2 linked regions of the Rhinolophus ferrumequinum genome follow. The protein of the gene in region 2 interacts with the protein of the main gene of each other region in a pairwise test. Links are inferred from orthologs where the notes say so. Each region holds a gene or a part of one and is shown on either strand. Other genes may lie near its edges.

What was found. The genes of interacting proteins can lie anywhere in the genome.
Region 1: the proteins of ATXN1 (region 2) and R3HDM1 interact in binary tests that used the Homo sapiens proteins (3 or more experiments, as listed by UniProt). The link is inferred for Rhinolophus ferrumequinum from reciprocal best matches to the Homo sapiens genes ATXN1 and R3HDM1.

Annotation. Positions count from the first base shown.
Region 1 is NC_046291.1:82,810,305-82,820,868, reverse strand, and holds the start of R3HDM1 (R3H domain-containing protein 1), read left to right. Parts: upstream 1-5,890; 5' UTR 5,891-6,056; intron 6,057-10,564.
Region 2 is NC_046292.1:78,027,676-78,038,352, reverse strand, and holds the start of ATXN1 (ataxin-1), read right to left. Parts: upstream 4,925-10,677; 5' UTR 4,727-4,924; intron 3,761-4,726; exon of another isoform or gene 3,551-3,760; intron 3,531-3,550; exon of another isoform or gene 3,518-3,530; intron 1-3,517. UniProt on the Homo sapiens protein: Chromatin-binding factor that repress Notch signaling in the absence of Notch intracellular domain by acting as a CBF1 corepressor. Binds to the HEY promoter and might assist, along with NCOR2, RBPJ-mediated repression. Binds RNA in vitro.

The sequences.
Region 1 (10,564 bases), on a different chromosome or scaffold from region 2:
CACTGCTCAACTGGAATACTGCAATAGCTCCCAACTGGACTCCCCCATGTGTTCCTTAATATTAGTTGGTTTCCCTAAAGCACTTACTGTAATTGGTAATTATTTTTATCTGCTTACTTGAATTTATCTCTCCCTCATTAGAATGCCTTTATAAGCTCAAAGACCATAAACTGTCTTGTTCATCACTGTTTTCCTTTAGCATTCTAGCACCAGCCAGGTCAATAGAAACAATATTAACAAAAAACAACACATACTTACTATGTGCCAGAAACTACTCTATGTGTTTTACATATATGAAGCCATTCAATGCTCCTGTGACACAGGTATTTCATTATCTCTACTTTACAGATAAGGAGACTAAGGCACAGATGGCGAACTAATCTACCCAAGGTCAACCGAGGAGGAGTATGTGGCAGAACTGAGAATCAAACCTCGGGAGCCTAGAGCCTATTCTCTTAGCCATTAACCAGTACGTCTCTTAGTAGAAGCTCGATAAGTATTTCCTGACCAAATAACAAATGAGACAGAATAAGTGAAAGAGGAACAGATTTTGGGGACATATTGAATTTGAAATACTGGGGAAAGGCTATGAGGTATAGTGGGATAAATAGTTTACCAACTAGAGATAAGCATTCAGAAGTTATCGGCTGCTACAGAAAGCCACCTATGAAATGGAAGTCTTGTACAGAAAGTGATTATACAATTTAAAAAATCAGATGTGCTATTAAACTGTAACCATTTAGATCCAGTTCTGTAATAAAAACGTTTTACAGAACACAGAATGCCCCATTGAGCCTTGACTATACCAACATGAAAAATTTTGTATTGTTAATATAAATTGAAATACTTTCCTTTCTTTTGGTATTCAGTATCTATATAAATGTCAAACTTGTATTTTGTTAAAACATAAAAGTACAGAGATTTATTTTTAATTTGACAAAATGACACCAAAATCCATCTAATAATACAAAAGAATGTATGAATGACAAGAAAATGTCTAAAAAAGAGTGGAAGCACACTTTACCTACTAGATATCAAAACATAAAGTTACAGAAATTAAGATAATGGGTATGGTATACGTTAAAGAAAAGACAGAACAATAAAAGATAACAGAGTCCAAACAAAACAACGTATACATAAATTGTAAATTAAATGTAAAAACACATAAAAATTTATATATACATGTTATTTTTATAATCTAATTTCTAAGCATCACAAATGCTTTTCTAAGCATCACAAATAAACTAGAAACTATAAAAAGATTCCAACACTAAAATAATTTAAGCTATGTCATGGAAAAACATCATTAAAAAGCAAAATGGGAGTACAGACTTTCAAACTACGTGACAAAGAGTTAAAAAACCTAAGAAGTAATTCCTTTAAAAGTATTAAGAGACTATGATAGGTAGCAACAGGCTACTCAAAAGAAATTAAACAATAGGTGACATGGATATAAAAGACGCTTAACATCAACAGAATTTAACTACAAATTAAGTTAACGAGGGATCACTTTCTATCAGATTGAATAGAATAAAAGATGGGAAATGGGTGCTCTCAAACACTGTAAGTAGGAAAGAAAATGGGCACAACCTTTCTAAAGAGCAATTTAGGAATCACAGAGTATTTGTGACTAAATAATCCTATTTCTAAAAAGTTAGATTTAAGGGATAATCAGACAAGCATACAAATATGGAGCTCACAGCACTATTGCTCTTAAAAGTTACTAATTGATCCAGCAACCCAAATGTGGGTATATATCCGAAAGAACTGAAAACAGGATCTTGAATAGATGTTTACACACCCAGCTCACTGCAGCATTATTCACAACAGCCAAAAGGAGGAAGTAATCTAAACGTCCATTGACAGATGAATGGATAAATAAAATGGAACACTTATACATATACATACAATGGAATATTATTCAGCATTAAAAAAAGAAGGAAATTCTGTCATATGCTCCAACATGGATGAACCTTGAGGACATGCTGCTAACTGAAATAAGCCCCTCACAAAAGGACAAATAATACTGCATGATTCTACTTACATGAGGCATCTAAAATAGTCAAACTCTTAGAAATAGAAAGTAGAATGGTGATTGCCAGGAGCTGCGGGAGGGTAAAAGGGGAGTTGTTGTTCAATATGTACAGTTTCAGTTTTGCAAGATGAAAAAGTTCCAGAAATCTGTTGCACGACAAAGTGCATATACTTAACACAACTGTAGTACCAGGGGTGACAATTAAGTTCGCGAACTTGTTGAGACAATGTTGCTAACCTTTTTTGATATCAGAGGGGTTATTTATTATGAATTTGTACCAACTGGACAAACAGTTAACCAAGTTTACTATTTGGACGTGCTGAAAAGGCTGCGTGAAAAAGTTAGACGACCTGAACTTTTCGCCAACAATTCACAGCTCTTGCATCATGACAATACACCAGCTCACACAGCGCTGTCTGTGAGGGAGTTTTTAGCCAGTAAACAAATAACTACTGGAACATCCTCCCTACTCACCTGATCTGGCCCCCAATGACATCTTTCTTTACCTGAAGAGGAAGGAAATAATGAAAGGAAGACATTCTGATGACATTCAGGACATCAAAGGTAATACGACAACAGCTCTGATGGCCATTCCAGAAAAGAGTTCCAAAATTGCTTTGAAGGGTGGACTAGGTGCTAGCATCTGTGCATAGCTTCCCAAGGGGAGTACGTCAAAGGTGACCGTAGTGATGATATTCAGCAATGAGGTACCTAGCACTTTTTCTAGGATGAGTTCGCAAACTTAATTATCTGACCTCGTATTCACTTAAAAACGGTTAAGACAGCAAATTTAGGAACTGAATGTTAGAGGCATACAATGAAATACCAGATAGCCATAAAAAATGATAACAGATATTTACTCAGTCATATCCACAGCCTATTGTTGAGTTTAAAAGGTTTACAAAAGAGCAAAGTAGTATGATACCATTGATACATGTCTGTACCTTTAAGAGAGAGACACTGTAAGGATATTCACTAAAATTTAATACTGTGTTTCCTCAAAAATAAGACCTAGCTGGACAATCAGCTCTAATGCGTTTTTTGGAGCAAAAATTAATGAGACCCGGTCTTATTTTACTATAAGACCCAGAATAATATAATATAATACTGGGTCTTATATTAATTTTTGCTCCAAAAGACGCATTAGAGCTGATTGTCCGGCTAGGTCTTAGTTTCAGGGAAATACGGTAGTGGTATCTCTGGGTAATAGGATGACAGATGACATTTATTTTCATTTTTTATATTTTCCTGTTTTCAAATACAAAGAATAGGTATTATATCTATGGCAAAGGATAGCTCAAAAAAGGAAGTGACTGCCACCTTTGGTTCCAGAATACTGGGATGAAATTTTACATTTCTCTTTCACTCTATGTCTGGCATATCTTGGGAGATTAATAAATAGTTGAAAAGCAGGAATGGAATGAGACATATTTGGATATGAATCTCAGCTCCAAAATTTACTGATCGAGGCCTTAAAGTCTTACTGAACTTCATTGAGCCCCACTTTCTTTAACCATAAAATATCAAGAAACAATACTTGCAGAACATTACAGAAAATATGTACTTAAAGCACTAACACATCATTTCTGGCTCAGACGAAACACTCAATAAAATGATGGCCATCATTACTATTTATTGATTTACACTAGAAGAAGCTCACAACAACAAAAAACTAAGTATCTACAGAAGACTATACCGCTAAATTATACAGAAAACTTCAATTGAATTAAAGAACAAGAGACAACTCTTTGTTTGGCGGACACACAACACTGTTGGCTGAAAGGTACGGTTACATTCCCATATGTAACCGGACTAGAATATAAAATGTATCATCTAGTTGGTGCAAAAACACCACTCATGAGTATTGGACAGACTTATCAGTGCTTCAGTAAAAAAAATAATGTTGATGAAAAGGGAAAATACACTCTTTCTAATTCACAGGTAGAATGGAAAGAGGTGATGGAATAAACACACAAAACATGACTAATGACTTAATTTAGAGACAGATTAAAAGAACGAGTAATGTTGCCATTAATTTTTGTTTGGCCTGTCTTCCTCATTGATATTGGACAAGGAGCCTGTCTTTTTAGCACTGCTGTATCCCCAAAGTCTGGTATAGTGCCCAATGTAGTGTGAGTGCTCAATAAACATTTACAAGATGATTTATAAAAGTCTCAGTGACACCATAGGAAAAACTGAAATAGAATTTATCTGAAAAAGTCTCAGTCAAATGATGGGAAAAAGTTTAAGAATGAAAGCCATTAGGCTTGAGGGAGAAAGACCTTTTCTGATAACTCCTCCTGCGTCTCCTTTATTCAATGAGTTTCCCAAGGCACCTCAAAGGGAACGTCCAACAGCAAAGATACACTCAACTTTGCATCCGACGGGGGCATGAACCCGGGCCTACTGGGCTAAACGTATTTGACTATGGGCTCCTAAGTATTTCAATGAGATCTTTATTCATCGGTGTATTATAGCTGGCACCTGTCGTCGACTGGGAAAGGCACCATTCTTGATTATTAAACCTGAGCCCTTCTGTAGCTTTTCTCTTAGGAACCAGCCTTTATAAGTCTGTAAAAGTGGGAGGAATTAGCTCAGAACTTGAGAGCCCGTTGTATACAGTCAGTGACGACATGAAGCCATGCTTCACGCACCGACAGGGGTAAAGGTATTAGAGGCACCCTCTACAAATACGTGGGTGCAATCTAATAGTGAGCAAGTCAAAACACAAGAAAAAAATTAGACTCTGGGATTGAAGACTTGGGGTGGAGAACGGCATTATGGACTTGGGAACCACCCCATCCCATTTCACTCTTTCCTAAAATGCAATTACATTCCGTTCAACTACCTATCTCTCACGCAAGAAAATACAGACTTGCCCCCCACGCCACTCCCAGACGGCCACACCTGGTGTATTCGCTGAAGAATCTCCAACTCCCGCCACAGGTTTGGCTGGTGTCCGCCCCAAAGCGGAAGTGACTTAAGAGACACACACCGAAAGTAAGAGTTCAAATACCAGGATTACAAAACCCTTACGTTCTGAGAAAACTCTTCTCTGATCACCTTCCTCTTCTATCCTTATCTCTTCTGTTAGGGTGGCGAAAAGAATTCACCACAGCCTCGTAACAACTAGTTCTCCACCCTGAACTCCAAATCATTCAAAAGTTTGTCCCTTTTCATTGGCCAGCGGGGCAGCATGGGTACCTCTGAGGAACTACAATTACCGTCAGGAACCGCAGGGAGTAAACGGAGGAAAGGATATGGACAGGGGCAAAGCACGCTGGGAAATGTAGTCCGCCCCCGTCCAAAGAGGGCAATCACCCCGCCTTCCACCCCACTGAGGCTGGAGAAACCAGGTGTTGGGCTTAGAACCCGTTACCGCTAAGGGGAGGAGCCACGTTTTTAAACAGCATTCCTGACTTCCCAGCACATGAAGGATGAAAATTTTCTTTTATTCCTACAAAGCATTACAAATATTCCTTGAAGAAATATGGTTGTCTTTCTAATATCTCCAATTCAGTAAAAACTCCCAGAACTCCCCTACCTTAGGCTCCAACTCGTGGGAAAAGGTGGCTCTTTTACAAGTGGGCAAAATGGCTGTCCTCTTAGTTTTCCCATTGGTTGCCCTTTGCGTCCTTCAAGGGCGGTTACTAACCACCGATTGGTTCTTTTTCCCTTGAGGGTGGAGGAAGACTTGGCATGGCTCTCCCGCGGCCCGAGAGGAGATAAAGGGGTGGAGAGAAGGCAGTATGTCCAGGTGTGATTGGATGATCCTCATGTCACTCCGAGAACGTACAGCCTATGATTTGTCGACTGCCCCTCAAAGAGAACGAAAAGGTGGGGCTAGTGCGTGGTGGGAAGGGGCGGGATTCTGCCAGCCCCGGCCGCCGCTGGAGCCGGTGTCCGGGCTGGTGATGGGGTTAATTCCCTTTCGTAAGACTCGTACTTGCACCCACCCAGCCCCGCCGTCGCCCCGCTGCGCCGCACTCCAGCCGCCTCCTCCTCCTCCTCAGTAACGCGGGTAAGAGATGCCCTCCCCTCCCCCTCTCCAGCTCCCCGGGAATAACGCGCCTCGCTCCCCTCCCCCGCCCTCCAACCGGTAGCGCTAACGGAGAAGGAGGCAGGCAGGGGAGAGATGTGGTGTGTGAGAAGGTGGCCTTCTCCTCCGAGCCGTCGGCGCTCCAGCCAGGGCCCCGCCGAGGTTCTCCTGCTACTGCCAGCCCGTGGGGAGGTCGGGTTCCGAGGGAGTCCGGCTCTCCTGGCCCGTCGCTGCGGCTGCAGCTGCATCCCCTACCTTGTGCCCACCGCCCCCACACGGGGGCCATGTGAAAAGCAAACCCCTGGAGGCCTAGCGGAGGAGGCAGGGGAAAGGTTCCCGAGTCCCTGCCATGGCTGCTGCTGCCCTTGCAGCCCCAGGGACTCGGGAACCAGCCACAGCAGGCCTGCCAGGGACGGGTGCGGTGCGTGGTTGTGCTCTCTAGGGTGGCTGGCGCCGCTGCCTCGAACTCCCCGGCCACCCCACGACCGTGGTCCCCGGCCTTGCACCGGGAGAATTTTTAGAAAGGAAATAAGGCGTTCCGTCGGTTGGTGAAATGTAGGTACATCTTGCCTGTGTACCAGAAAAACACAATGGGAAATTTTAAAAGAAAGTTGAATGACTGTCAGTGCCACGGACTCCGGGAATCAGATTTACACACTTTATGGTTGAGTCTTAGGCTGCCCTCCAAAGCCCTTGTGTATTTGAAGTTTCTTGTCGTTGTTCTCTTTTTTGTTGTTGCAAGGTGCAGAGGAGAGTGCATCTGTTGTTTGAGCTAGCTTTTTTTATGTAGAAACTTCCATTTTTGAGGGTAGCATGCCCCGCGTATAATTGTCCTGGGACAGCAAGTCAACTAAGTAAAAGGTGAAATGCTTTCTAAAACAGTAAGGCTTAGTAAATAGCAGATGATTATTCTAATAAGATTTTCCAGGAAAAAAAAATGTGTATATGTATCTCCCAGATTACAGTTTGCCTGATTATAATTCTGAAGAAAGCCTTTGTTTTTAGCTTAAATGTCATTGATTACAAGAACTTTCAAGTAATGAAAAGATGATAAAAGTCAACTGAAAGCCCACCTTTTTATATTTGAAACAGTAAGGTCTATCTATGTAATATTTAATATGGTAGGATACCAGTATGACTAGAGTAACTGGACACACCTTAACAAAATTTGGCCATATTTAAAAGCAAATGCTTATTCCTCACATACTGAGCCCTCATTTTTTCACTCCTTGCTGTTTTGGCGAGGTGACTATGTCCTTAAATAATAGATTCTGTAATTTATAGTAGACATGCCTGTAATCAGATAAAATTCTAGGCCCACTTCTGAGGCTTGTTACCAGAATCAGAACTTGTGTTCTGAAGAAGTCATTGGGTTTTGCCGAATGTTAGACCCTTTCTTCAGGGTCTGATGAGACTATACTGGCTTAATGATCTTCCATATTCCATAAATAACACACCTAGATACAGAATTGGCATAGATCCATCGATTCAGGACCTGGAAGAAACTTGGTGTGTTGTAATTCTTAAAATGGAATGCATAACCCTGAAAGGTAAGGCCCCTCAGCTCCCCACAGAGTATCCATAGCATATATCACTCAGCATAGCATTTTCTAAAACTTGTTGGTTAATTGATAAATTATATAATTGATGCTGTCAGATCTCATGTGCTTTATATACAGAAAGCGCTGCTAGAAATATAGGAGGTTCCTACGTTCTCTTGTTAGCTGTAGGACCCCACTATGAGTTTCAGTTCAGTTTCCTCATCTGTAAAATGGGGATGATAACGCTTAACTCATGGAGTTGTGAAGCTTAGAGATGAAGTATGTAAAGCCCCTAGCATTGTGCCTAACACAGTATGTATGATTAAATATTAACTATGCATGTTAAGATTATATATATTATGATTAAATATTTCATGCATATTAAGAGAGTAAGTTTTTTATTCACATGCACAGGTGTTGCAACCTCAGCACATGTTCCATTAGTGAGGAGTACTGTGGGGGTTTTTATTTACTTGTATATAGTGACAAAGTAAGTGCAGTTTGCAGCTAGCCATTTTTAGAGTGAAAGTTATATGGGAAATTGGTAACTGGGTATATACAAGTTGCTTATTTTATAGAAGACTTTTTTTGTTTTTGGCATTAAAATGCAAGTGTTTGTGGAATATATTTCAAATGGATTACTTGGAATAAAAGTGGCAAATTATTGTAGTGATAAGTTATTGTAATATCTTTTAAATTTAATATGTTTCAAGATCTAGTTTATATAATTACTACCCATGTTCATTGTGCTACCAGGCTACCAGCAAGCAACAGCTGAATTCCTTTAATACAGCGTTAAGATTAAGAAAGTAATTTGAATTCGTTATGGCCATAGGCTGACTACAGTTTTGTTGGTTTTTAATTTTCATTATTTATCAATACTTGTGTGTTTCTTTTCTGTGAGTCAACATGCCAGACACATTGTTCTTTTCTCCTCCTAGGCACTTGTGAAAGTGTACTGTGTCTTCACACGTAATAGTGTCCTTGGAGTGTGTGCAGTTAGGCCAATTTAAAGTTAGCATGAAAACAGTTCTATTATGAAGTCTTCTGACAGTAATGCCTGGCCAGGGTTCAAGGCAGCTGCACCTTATGCTAAATAGTGAGCTGAGGTACATAATGTTATGGCAGACTTCCCAACTTACTAAACCCAGTACAATTGGATGCTCCTTCAAGGAGCCTTACATGGCAGCAGCAGTAGAAAATGTTATAAAATTGAAATAAGCTTTTTCAAATACTATGCAGAACATACGCATTGCCATGCCTTCTTGCCAAGTAATAAAAGCGATTTTCTTGTCGTGGTACTTTAAAATATCTAATTATACCCATTTGAGTTCATGTTAAATTTTATTTCCTCAAGCTGAGGGTTGATAACACCTATTTTTTCCATTCTTGAAAACGTTACAGTAATAAACACTTTTTTAAAATATTTTTTATTTTTCAATTGACAGTTGACATTCAATATTATATTACTTTCAGGTGTACAGCATAGTGGTTAGACATTTATATAATTTACAAAGTGATCCCCCTGGTACAACTAGTCCCACCTGCCACCATACGTAGTTATTACAATATTATTGGCTATATTCTTTGTGCTGTCCCTGTGACTATTTTATAACTATCACTTATCACTTTGTACTTCTTAACCCCTTCACCTTTTTCACCCAGCCCCCCCCCCCCCCACATCCCGCCCATCTGGCAGGGATCAGTTTGTTCTCTGTATCTATGACTCTGTTTCTGTTTTGTTCATTTATTTTGTTCTTTAGTGAACATGTAAGTGAAATCATACGGTATTTCTCTTTCTCTTCTGACTTATTTCACTTAGCATAATATCCCCTAGATCTATCCATGTTGTCACAAATGGTAAGATTTCATTCTTTTTTATAGTTGAATAATATTCCATTGTATATAGGTACCACATATTCTTTATCCAGTCATCTATTCGATGGGCACTTAGGTTGCCAATATCTTGGCTATTGTAAATAATACTACGAAGAACATAGGGATGCATATATCTTTTCGAAGTAGTCTTTTGAATTTCTTCAGATAAATACTCAGAAGTGGAATTGCTGGTTCATGAGGTAGTTCTATTTTTAATCTTTTGAGGAACTTCCATGTTGTTTTCCAGAGTGGCTGCACCAGTTTGCAATCCCACCAGCAGTGCATGAGGACTCCCCTTTTCTTTGCATCCTCACCACTTGTTTGTTGATTTATTGATAATAGCCACAATAATAAACACTTAAGACTTGCTGGGTTTGTAATATATTATTGCTATTTTAATTAGAAAATTTCACTGTTAACACTTTCACGATCTATTGTAAATAATGTTGGCATCTGTGTGTTAAAAGAGGTTACAAATGGCAGTGAACTTTTCAAATAGTTCTTGCTGTTCCAAACCACAGAATCAAAACTTCATAGTGACACCTGCATACAGTGATGATAATTTATTATTTATAACTTAATTAAGGTAGTTATTGTAAAGAAAAGGGAGTATGTCTTTTTTTCTCAGTATAATAGTAATCTTTTTCTAAAACAGTAAAATATCTTCCACTTAATCCCTATGAATTCTGATGTTTAGTAATAAACAGACATATGCAAAAAATCAAATCATATAATCAAAATTTTATTAAGTTAACTTTGCTTCCCCAATAAGGATGCATTATGTAACTAAACAAATTTGCTTGTACCTGATAAGATGTGAGCATGTGTATCTTTTCCAGAATTTAATTCAATTAGTCATTAACTAATGGTTGAAATCAGAGATGAGTTAGTTAATCCTGGCTGAAAGCTAGTTCTCTACCTTATTTTCCAGCCATTTGTTTTTTCCTTAATTCCCAGATTTTATCCTTTAACATTTTGTGTCTTCTTACCTCCTTAGTCTCCACACATGCCTGTTAATTTAATTTTTTTTCCTGCAAGTTTAAAAAGCCTACAGTTTATGATCTGTGTTGT
Region 2 (10,677 bases):
ATTACTCTCTCTATTGGGATTTCTACGATTTATTATTTTTGATGCTTTTAACAAAATAAGGAGGGCCTGCTTCTGATAACTTTGGAAGTATGACCAGAACTAAATCTCTTCTTTGAAGCAGTTAAACTGCTTCATATCTAAACCTCTCACAGAAAGCAATCATTCAAAGTATTGAGTTACTCTGAAAACATAAAAGAATAGAATTCAAACTATCTCCCCCCGCAAAAATGATATTGTCTTGCTGCACTATCCCTTTACAAAGCAAGTACTTAAGCTCTTCAGAGTCTAAACTATGTGTTACTTTCAGACAGCTATAGTTTAAAGAATTAACATTCATGCCTACGTTTACTAAGTTCCAGGGTTCTAGTAAAATGTTTATTGACTAACTTCTAATAGGAAACAAAATGAACCGGTGTCACAATATGTTAGTCATCAAAAACTGTCATTGAAGTTAAGTGCCAAAGTAAAATCCACTTGACATTTCAGAATGGAAAAAAAAAAAATGACATATTATACAAAAGGAATGTGAGTCTCTAAACTCTGTAATGACAACAAAAACAGGACTCATAGAAATGTGTTCACTAATAGTTTAATAATCTCTTCAGGCTGACCTTTCCCAGGACTCCCAGACAACTGATTAAGGTATGTTGAAATGTAGGGCCCTACAGGTATTTGATGTATATAAACTGATGGCTAAAGAGTTTTTCTCAAACCTTTCTCTAAAAGAGGCCCTAAAATCGATAGTTTCACTTCTGTTTACCAAACCCTCTTAAAACGAAATCCAGAGAGGAAAACATTAACTTTCACAGTTCCCAATCAAGTACATTTTTCATATTTATTTTAGCATGAATTTGTGCATTTAAAAATACACGTTCACATTTCATTGCAAATAAAACAATTTCCTGTATGTTGCAAAATATCATCCAAGGTGTTCTGTAAAACTTACACTTCTGTGCTTTATTTTATATCACTGCTTCCCATCTATTTACCTCCTAGGAATAATAGCTCATTTTAACCACTGCAAGCTTGATCTGAGCAGGCCACAATCAAGTTACCAACCGTATAATAAACTCACTAGCAGAAATCATAACTGCACCCCCACCCAGGAATAAGTAGCTCTCTCAATCCTAGCCTTAGGGGAAAAAAGGATTTCCCAATTTAGCTATGGGGCTATAAAACTGTAAACCAAAACTGGCAGGTTCACAACTAAATCAAGACATGATTATTCTCAATTATTTTTACTTTCAAATATCAGGGTTACTAAAATACTTCCCTCTATTTGGATTGCCTGAGGAACAGAGAGTTTCCACAACCAAGCTACTTTTTTTTCCTTTTCTTTCTTTCCTTCTTTTATTTATTTATTGCAACAGCATTATTTTTCTTTGTTTAACAGGCTTAATAAGGTGGTGCCCTAATGCAAAGAGTAGACTGCTATTCTCTAAATTATTAAATGCTCATTAAATTATATCCCAAAATAGAGTACAAGTTGTTTATTATGCAAAAGCACCACACATTATCAGTCTTAACAGCTACAGGCCTATGTCCTCTTTCCTGAGACAAAAACCTTTGAACTTACTACCACAGATGTAAAGATCATGGCCAAAAGATCCAAATGAAGAATGAATACACTCAGAATATCTGTCTCCTGACAGTCAGTCCTAGATTTTTCTATTATGATGGCTGTAAAGTTTTAAAACATGACAATGGTGATATCCTTCCCAAATAAATTCCTTCTGCAGAATAAACCCTTTCGAAAACCAGTCATGACTAACTGGCAACTTAGGTTCTAAAGGATGAGCACTTTCACACTTGAAAGGGTTAAGTGCCTGCAAGGCCAATGGTACCAGAAGGCAAAAGAAATGTTGCTTTAGTCAGCTCTGAAAGGTTTCTAACAAGTACCAAATACTTGTTGATCTGTTCACAATAAACACCAGCAGGATTGTCAGGCTCCTTTCACTGTCTGGGGAGAGACATTTACATACTGCACCCAGTAAGAACAGCTTGTTGGTCTCCTTTATAAGAGTAGCGAGAAGCCTCATTCAGTGTCTCCCGTCCAAATGACTGAAAGAAGACGCAATTGAAATAGTGAAGTCTCTCGTCTGGCTTGGGCAGCACAAATACTGTGCATAAAACACTTGGAGTAGTCCAAGCACAAAACAAACCCACCTGAATGGACAAGGAACAGTGTCTGTTGCCATGGCAGCCTGATCTAATTACATGAGTGATCGGGGCTGGAGTAAGTGCACTGAAAACCTACACCACTGACCGTACCTAGAAGAGGAGAAAGACAGGGAGGCAGGAGGTTCAGGGGAGACTTCAACCTCTGCTTTAAGTAGCAGCCCATTTGTCTGTGGAGCTGCTAAAATACTGACTGATGCATGTACAGTTAGAGGGCAGCCAGAGGAGATTAAATGCCACAGCCTTAGCAGTTATGGTGCAATCCCTCTCCAAGAGTTTATATGCAGGATTTTCTTGTCCTCCTCTCTGGTGGTTTCCCTAGGCATAAGCTTCGTTTCAAACAAAAGCTCAACAATCAAACAATCTTCACCCACCAAATAAACCACAAGGTGGGCTTAACAGGGGCTTCTAGGAACTCCAGGGCTCCTCAGAAACCCAAACAGAACTGGCTTAGCTAATAATGTTGAAAAGTAACTAGCTGAGCCTAAAAATAACCATCAAGTAACTGCTGTGTGCGATATGTAAGGATGATGTTTAAATATTAAGAACAGCCTGCATTATAAAACACAAATGTCATCGAGCTGTGACTACTAGATTGCCAAAGGAGAACTTATTTGCATACACGCATTCCCGTGCATGCACGACAGAATGTGCAGGGAGTATGCCACTCCAAGGCTGTGGGTGTAAATGGGGTCTTCTAATTTGGCTCATTGTATCCTGTGGATCTCACAGGGAAGCTAAGAATCTCTTCGGGTACAGAACCAGTTTGGAGGAGTCCCTACTGCACAGCATACGGTTAACAAAATAAAAATAGCTTGCCGTTCTCGTTAGCCACATCGCGCATTATATAACCAGCTTCCGACTGGCTTTTTTTTTTTCCGCCCTTACTACTCACTCTTCAGCAATTCCCAATCTTCCGAAGTATTTATATTACCCTCTTATCTGTAGGATTATATACTAAGAAAGCAAAACAAAACAGAGCCTCCACGGGACTAAACCGAACCTCACAGTCCTTAGGAAGGGATTTTTTTGTTTTCTGGCAGGAGCTCCACCACCACCCTACTTCCACCCCCCCCACCCCCACCAAGGTTCTTGCTAATCTCCCTAGAAAACCTGGATTGTTTCATTGCTTCCAGTCAGCCCCCTACGTGGTCTGAAATAAAATGAAAGCACAAGCCATGGAGTTTGGGAAGGCGGCCTGCGGGCGGGGGGCTGAGGAGGGGTCAGGCGCTGCAGTCAGCCAAGTGGCCTCAGCGGGCCCTCTCCCCATCGCGACGGCCCCTGTGGACGACCCCCCCGCCCCCGCCCCGCGCGCGCACACAGACGCACGCTCACTCACTCACACTCCCGCCGCGCTCCGCCACCGCCTCACCTCTCGCTCCGCCCGTCCGGCCCCTTCCCTGCCCCCTGCGGGGCTGGCCTGCGCGCTGCGCTGGGACCACGTAGGAGGCGGCGGCGGCGGCCGCGGGAGTGGCAGCGTCTCCGGCCCGGCCAGGAGTGAACGAGCAGCGGAGCTCCGGGGCGCATCCCAATAGCCGCAGCGCCTCCTCCTTCCCCTGCTCCTGGCTTCATTCACCCTCCCAGCAGTCGCGCGGCGGTTCACTCCTGGCGCCCACAGGGCAGCGCCTGCTGCCGCTCCTTTCCTCCCGCCGCGGGTGCGGGCGGGGGTGCCGGACCGGGCTGGGGCGCTCGCGGGCTCCCGGCTCCCGGCGGCGGCCACAGGATCAGGAAGCGGCCGTACCAACAGGGCGGCGGTGGTAGCGGAGCCAGGGCCGCCGCCACCACTCCGGCCGCGCTCCCGGCACCCGCACGCCCGCGACCCAGCGCCCACCCCTCCGCGCCCCCCGCGCTCCCACAGCCTGCGCCGGGCCGCGCGCAGAGTCCTGGCTCCGCAGCCGCACGCCGGGAAAGGCCGGCCTCGGTGGGTAGACCCCGGCCGTGGGACTCCGAGGCCAGGCGGCCACCGGCGGGACAGCCCAGCCTCGTCCAGACCCGCTTGCTCTCGCCGCCCTCTTTGGGTAGAAGGGTGAAGAGGGGGCGGCGACAGGAGTGGGCAGCGCGACCCCTGGCCGCTGTCGCCTCCCTTATGCCACCTCCAGGGATAAGGACACAGCTCTCCACACTCGCGAGCGGGACTAGCAGCCGCCCGAGCGAGGCGCCGCCACCGCCACTCTCCCGGCCCGCGCCCCCAGCCCGGGCGCGCCCCCTCACCCGGCGGGCGCCCACCCGGCCCCCAACAGCCCCCCTGCTGGCGGTCCGTGCACCCTGAGCAGGGTGTCGCTTCGGGAGGCTGGAGCCGAGGAAGGTTGTGTGTACACACACACACACACACACACACACCCCACCACCACCACAACACGCCGCGTCGGTTTCCTTCGCTCCTCTTCCAGCTGTTTTCGGTGCCGCCGATTGGGGTTTGGGGTTTGTTTGCTGGTTGTTGCTTTGGCCCCTCTCAGGAGAACGGGGGGCATCTTAATCTAAATCAGGGGAGAAGGGGATGGGGGAGGGGGAGAGACAGAATCAGAGGAGAAAAAAAATCGCCACTTACTGTAAAGTGTAAATGGATCTGGGGTGGCGTGGGGAAGGGGGGGCAGAGGGAGAGAAACAGTGTCTTGCGGCTGCTGTAGCTCTGGCTGCTGCTCCACGGGGCTTGTTTTGAATCCCCCTGCAGTGAAACAGGTCCTGTACGGCTCCGCCACTGTAGTAGAAATGATGTCTGCGGTATACTCTGCTCTCTCCTCCTCCTCCTCCCCCCGCTCTCCTCCCCTCCCTCCCTCCTCCCTCCGCCCTTCCTCCCTCCCTCGCGCTCTCTCGCGCTCGCTCGCTCGCTCGCTCGCTCCAGTATGTAAATGTGTAATAGAAGCCAAATATGGAGCAGTTGGCTGCCGCCGCCGCAGCTCAAGGATCCGACGGGGGGGGGGTGATAGGAGGGGGGACACCCTCCGGCGGGCGGCGGGGCGAGCCTCTCGGAGCCCGGCGAGCGCACGGCGGGCGGCTGGCCCGCGCCCTTAATCCTTCGGTGCGAGCGGCCCGGGCTCGGCGGCCCTCGGAGAGACTGGAGCGTTTCCCCCCAAGACTGGCTCGGGATCGGGGGTGGGTGGTGGGGGGAGGGGGGCAGGGAGACTTGGGTCAGAGGGGACAGTTCTTCCAGGTTTGGGAAAGGGGCGGGGAAGTGAGGCGATGAGGTAATTGTAGCGGTGACTGGTGGGTCCTCGCTCCCTTCCCTGGGTCCCTGCACCTAGTTGGAGGGGACAGAACGACAACGGAGTGCAACTCAGGCACCCTGGAGGATTCTCCGGCTCAGAGCCAATGAAATACCCCAGGGGGAGGGGAGACGAACCAGTTCTGATTGCTACGTGCCCTTGGTTCCGGGCGCGCCGAAAAGCGTCCAAGAGGGCTGACTGCGATCATCATTCACGTTAATCCTCAAACCGGTTTAGCTTCGGCGTTCGGGAACCCAGACCACCGGGGCACGGGGAGTGCCTTTGCGTGCAACTCTGGAAAGTTTTAAGGGACCCCCCCCCCGGACTGCACGTGCCCCTAACCTTTACTGCCTGGGACAGCCGGTGACCTCCCTGCCCTCTACCCAGCTCTAGCCTTGGTAGACGACCTGCGCACTCCTCTCGCAGCTAATTCGGGATCATTAATTTAATCGGAAATGAGGTAACCAGTGTAGGAGATAGAGAAAGCAAACCGAGCATCAAATGGCAGTTCTCGTGATTCCAGGCTGAAGAATTTACTCTGGACTCAATTTTTAAGTGCGGTTCTTACCCCACCACACCGCTCCTCCCCCTCGCCCCCGGACCCCTGCGCGCGCCACACACATCGCACGTATCACCGCCAGGTGTTAGCTCGACGGGAAGGAATCTTCTTTCGAAGGGTGCACCTTGCCAACAGGTGTGGCACCTGGAGGAAGAGAAGGCACATCCCTGCGAAAGGGAGCTCACTGCGGCGTTCCCCTGGCTGCAGGTAATTCTGGAAGACCAGTAGGTGTCCGGGCAGCGTTTGACCTCCTTCAGGTGCTTAGAACCAAGTGTCTAGAAACATGATCCCTCTACGTAAGTTTCTCTCTGGAAGCCACCACTATTGACTGTAAGCTGTATTTGAGAAACCTTTTGGCTAAGTTTACTTATGACCTAACGGTTAGTCACCAGCCGAAGCAGGATACAGAATCACCAAGAGAAATGTGTCAGCTTTTGAACAACTGTATTGTAGAGTCAACGTGCTACAGAAATAAAAAATAAGCATACTAACTAGGAAGGTGTAGAGCCCCGGAAATAACTTCTTTCTCACATTTTGAAATACCATGTACATATACATGGTTATTTAAATAGAACTACTACAGTTCACTCTTACTCATTTCTACAACTTCTTTTTTTATTTTTTTTTATTTAAAAATCAGTGATTGTTACAGTTTAAACACTGGGTTGGTGTAAAATGACATTGTTGGTCTCATTACAGCCTCTAGTGGACAGTTAAAATCAGTTTCCTAAAAAGGCTCTGCCTGGTGTTGTGTTCCTTGACAAGCATTACCAAGGTGAAGGTTAATACCTCAGACATAACCGGGTAATAATCTCTTCCCCCGGCAGAGCCGGCTTCTAAAAGGAGCAGAAGCTGTTGGGTCTGCAGGAAAAGACGTATGCTTTGTGCTGCAGGTATTATTATTACTGGCCTGTGAATAAACAGAGAGCTTCTGCTATTCATTTCAGTTTCAGACAGCTTTCATAAAAACTGAACTCATCTAAAATATTTTTATAACAGAAAATATTGGTTGCCATGTTTTTGGCTTAACTGAGATGTTTTTATTCCAGCTCCTAATCTGCAGACTGTCCAATCCACCTCGACTCTATTTTTAGACATCTTACATTTAGAGAATTTTCAGTAAAAAAAGAGCTAATATTTTAATATTACATTGACACAAACAGTTAAATTTAAGTTATTTTAACAAACTTAATCAAATTAAAACACATGATTCAGGTTAGTCAATTAATTTAAATATTCTCTCAAGGAAGCTAAAATGTATATTACCCAAAAAGTAAGAATAATAACAAATGTGTCATTTACTTTCTTAGCCATTAAGATTAAAGCCATAAACTGCTATTAAAATCTGTAACTATTTCTTCCTGCAAGGTCCAACCAACATAAACATAATACTCATGATATACTTTCTTTACCTTTAGCACTGAAATGTCTTATTTTCAGATGACAAAATAGTAAATGTACAATCACAAATAACTGGTACTAATTCTTTAAAAATGACTCTTTATGCAAATAAAAACTCAATGAAAGGAGAGCAGAGCTTTCAAGGAGCCAGTAGGCAAATATGTAGTACTGTGGTCCTATTCATAAACCTGATACTATATTTGTACAGCATAAGTCAAACTTTGAAATTAAAGGAAATTGAGAAATAAGGCCTGCTGAGCCTTACTCCTAATTTGTGTTCTGTATTGCTTAAACACGATGGAAAATCATTTTCATCCCTTATATCTATTTCACTGTTTTTGGTAGTATCTATTTTTGAAGGTTTAAAACGGGCTATCAAGAATATATTATATCATTATGTCTTGTGTCGAAAAACGTAGTCTTCAGAATAGCAGCAGCAGCATCTGGGAGTTTTCTAGACATTCAGAATGAGAGCTCCACCCCAGACCTACTGAATCAGAATCTGCCTTGTAACCAGCCCCTGGGTGATTCCTAAGCACATTCAAGTGTGAAAAATTCTATTCTATACTACAGGGCTCTGTCTATATGAATTTGGCCACAGATGCAGAACTTAATTCTCCTATTTATTCCTTTTTTATTTACTCCCTCTTTTATTAATTTGCACTTTTTAATGAGTAATTATTACATTCTATGCTTTGGTCAAATAGTACTGCATTTTTGAAGAGCTCTGATGTATACACAAATCTGCATCATCGTTGCCAAGAGAACACTGTGAGGAAAGTGCTGGGGTCTTGAACGTGAAGGTTTTCTTCATGGCAGCAGAGGGAGCAAAAGAGTACTTAATAAAACAAGTGTACAGGCAGCCCAATCGTAAGGGGTTTTAAATTGTAGTATTTGTTTTCATTGGAAGTAGCCTTTTGTATAGTTCAAAACAAAACAAAAACAAGCAAACACAAACAGCTTACCAGGTTATAACAAATAAATAGTGAACAGATTGGCAGTTAAATAGAATGGAGATGTACTTATTTAGAGTTTTAGGCTTGAATTCCTAAAAGAAAGTAGACTTCAAAAGTCATACTTGGAAAACATGCCTTAGCTTTTCTCCAGTCAAAAATAAAAATAACATAATCATTTAACAATATATGTAAGTCAAACCATCGTGCTGTGTGCCTTAAACTTACAGGGCGGTGTGTATCAATTATTTCTCAGTAAAATTGGGAAAAAATAAAGATACAATATAGAATAATGCAACTCTAAGAGTAACTCCTGTTTATCTCTTTAAAACGTTGAGGTCAATTAACCCAACACTATGTCAGGTAAGTTTGTTTCATTTGGACTCAAATGTCTTGGTGAAAGAATGCACTTTTCACCATGTTTACTTTCACGGTAATTTTAAGGGTTTGTCCTTAATGTTTACTGTGGTGAGGACGTATGTGTCAATTATATCTATGTAGCATTTTATACCTTTCATAGCCTTCGGTATTCCATCTTTAAACACTCCTGCCAGGTAGATAAGACATGGGAAAGAAAGGCAAGCCTCAAAACAGTTGTGGAACTGACTTGTGCTTTCATAGCGCTGGGACATTTGATTGTTACAATTATCCATTGAAGAGAGAGAAGAGAGAAGTTCAGAGAAGAGAGAAATCAGAGGTTAGAGATCCAACAGCATGTTCTTTACAGTTTAATAAAAGGTTTTTCAAAGTTACTAGACAGTGTTAATAAGTGGATATTTAAATAAGAGACTTATGAATAGAGACTATGTCTTCATTCTCAAGTTGCATTTAATGTATTTGTTATTTACTTACCAACAGCCTTTATGATTTTATGTATTTATTATTTACCAACATTTATTGTGCATCTATAATAACTAGGCCCTGAGAATATAAACATGAGTAAGACATCTCTGTCTGCAAGTAATTCATAGCACAACAAATCTTATCTTTTGAAAAATGTTAGTTTTTACCTTGAAGAAACGTAAAGATTCATAGTTGCTTCATCCATCACCTCTAAGAATCATTACATCAATCAGACTTCCGAATATGAGAATCAAATACTAAAACCATTGAACATTTGGGAGGTGGATGGGCAACTCTTAAGTAAAATTTGACTTAAAAGCTAATATTAATATTTCAAATTTATAAAACAAACAAAATGTAAATCTATAACACGTATTCTATCTGAATTCCTGCCTTCTCACACACACAAAAAAAAATCACATGAGTAATTTTAAGCAGTAAACATTTTTTTTTTATCATTTTAAAACTTGTTCAAAAGAATTTCCTCCTACATGAAAGAAGGATTTGCCAAGTTTCTGTCTGGAGCAATTTGTTATGGCTGTGTAATAAATCCCAGAAAGTTTGAATTTTTAATGGAAACACTGACAGACCTTTAACCATGCTATAATAAGGAGGGTGTTATCATACATATGTCATTTAAAAATCTGAGCAAATCATAGCATGCTCGCAAAACAAATATACTTTCCTTAGACTGCACTCCAAAATGAAGCTGGGGAGACCAGAAAACTAAAATAAACTAAAAACAAAAGTGAAAACCTCTCTCACACAATGGACTCTGAGGTCAGCTCGCCACACCCAAAGTCACTGGGCTCTCTGTATGTCACAGGGACTCTTAAAGGACGTACTTCTGAATCATCTGTCTTGACCCTCCACTAAACTGTAGCAGAACAGGCTTCTGGGTAATGGAAGCGACATCACTAATAGTCAAGAGTGAAGTGAAAATCGTTGTATTTAAACATCTGCCAATAGTTTATTATTTAACAGTATACACATTGTACAATTTTAAATAAGATTCTGTCTACAATTAAAAACAAAAACAAGTTCTTTAGTGTAGGTCAATATTGTCTACTATGGCTATTAAGCACTTGAAAGTGGTTAGTCCAACTTAAGATGTGTTATATAAGTGTAAAATATATTAGGTTGGTGCAAAAATAATTGCGGTTTTTGCAATTATTTTCAACCTTTTAAACCGCAATTACTTTTGCACCAACCTAATACTACGGATTTCAAAGACTTAGTGCACACACACACACACGTGCACACACATACACACACCTACATACATATACACACATGTCTATGTATCTCAACAATGTTTATATAGATTAAATGTTAGAATAAAAATAGTCTGTATAATTAGATTGCATAAAATGTACTATTAAAATTAATTTTACCTTTTTCTTTTTACTTCTTAATGTAGCTACTATAAAATTTACATGTGTGGAAGGATCGCAGATTATATTTTTAATGGACAGCACGCTATAGATAATGGGGCTGAGGAGGTGCATGAATGAGTTCTAAGAACCCTCAGCTGGAGACC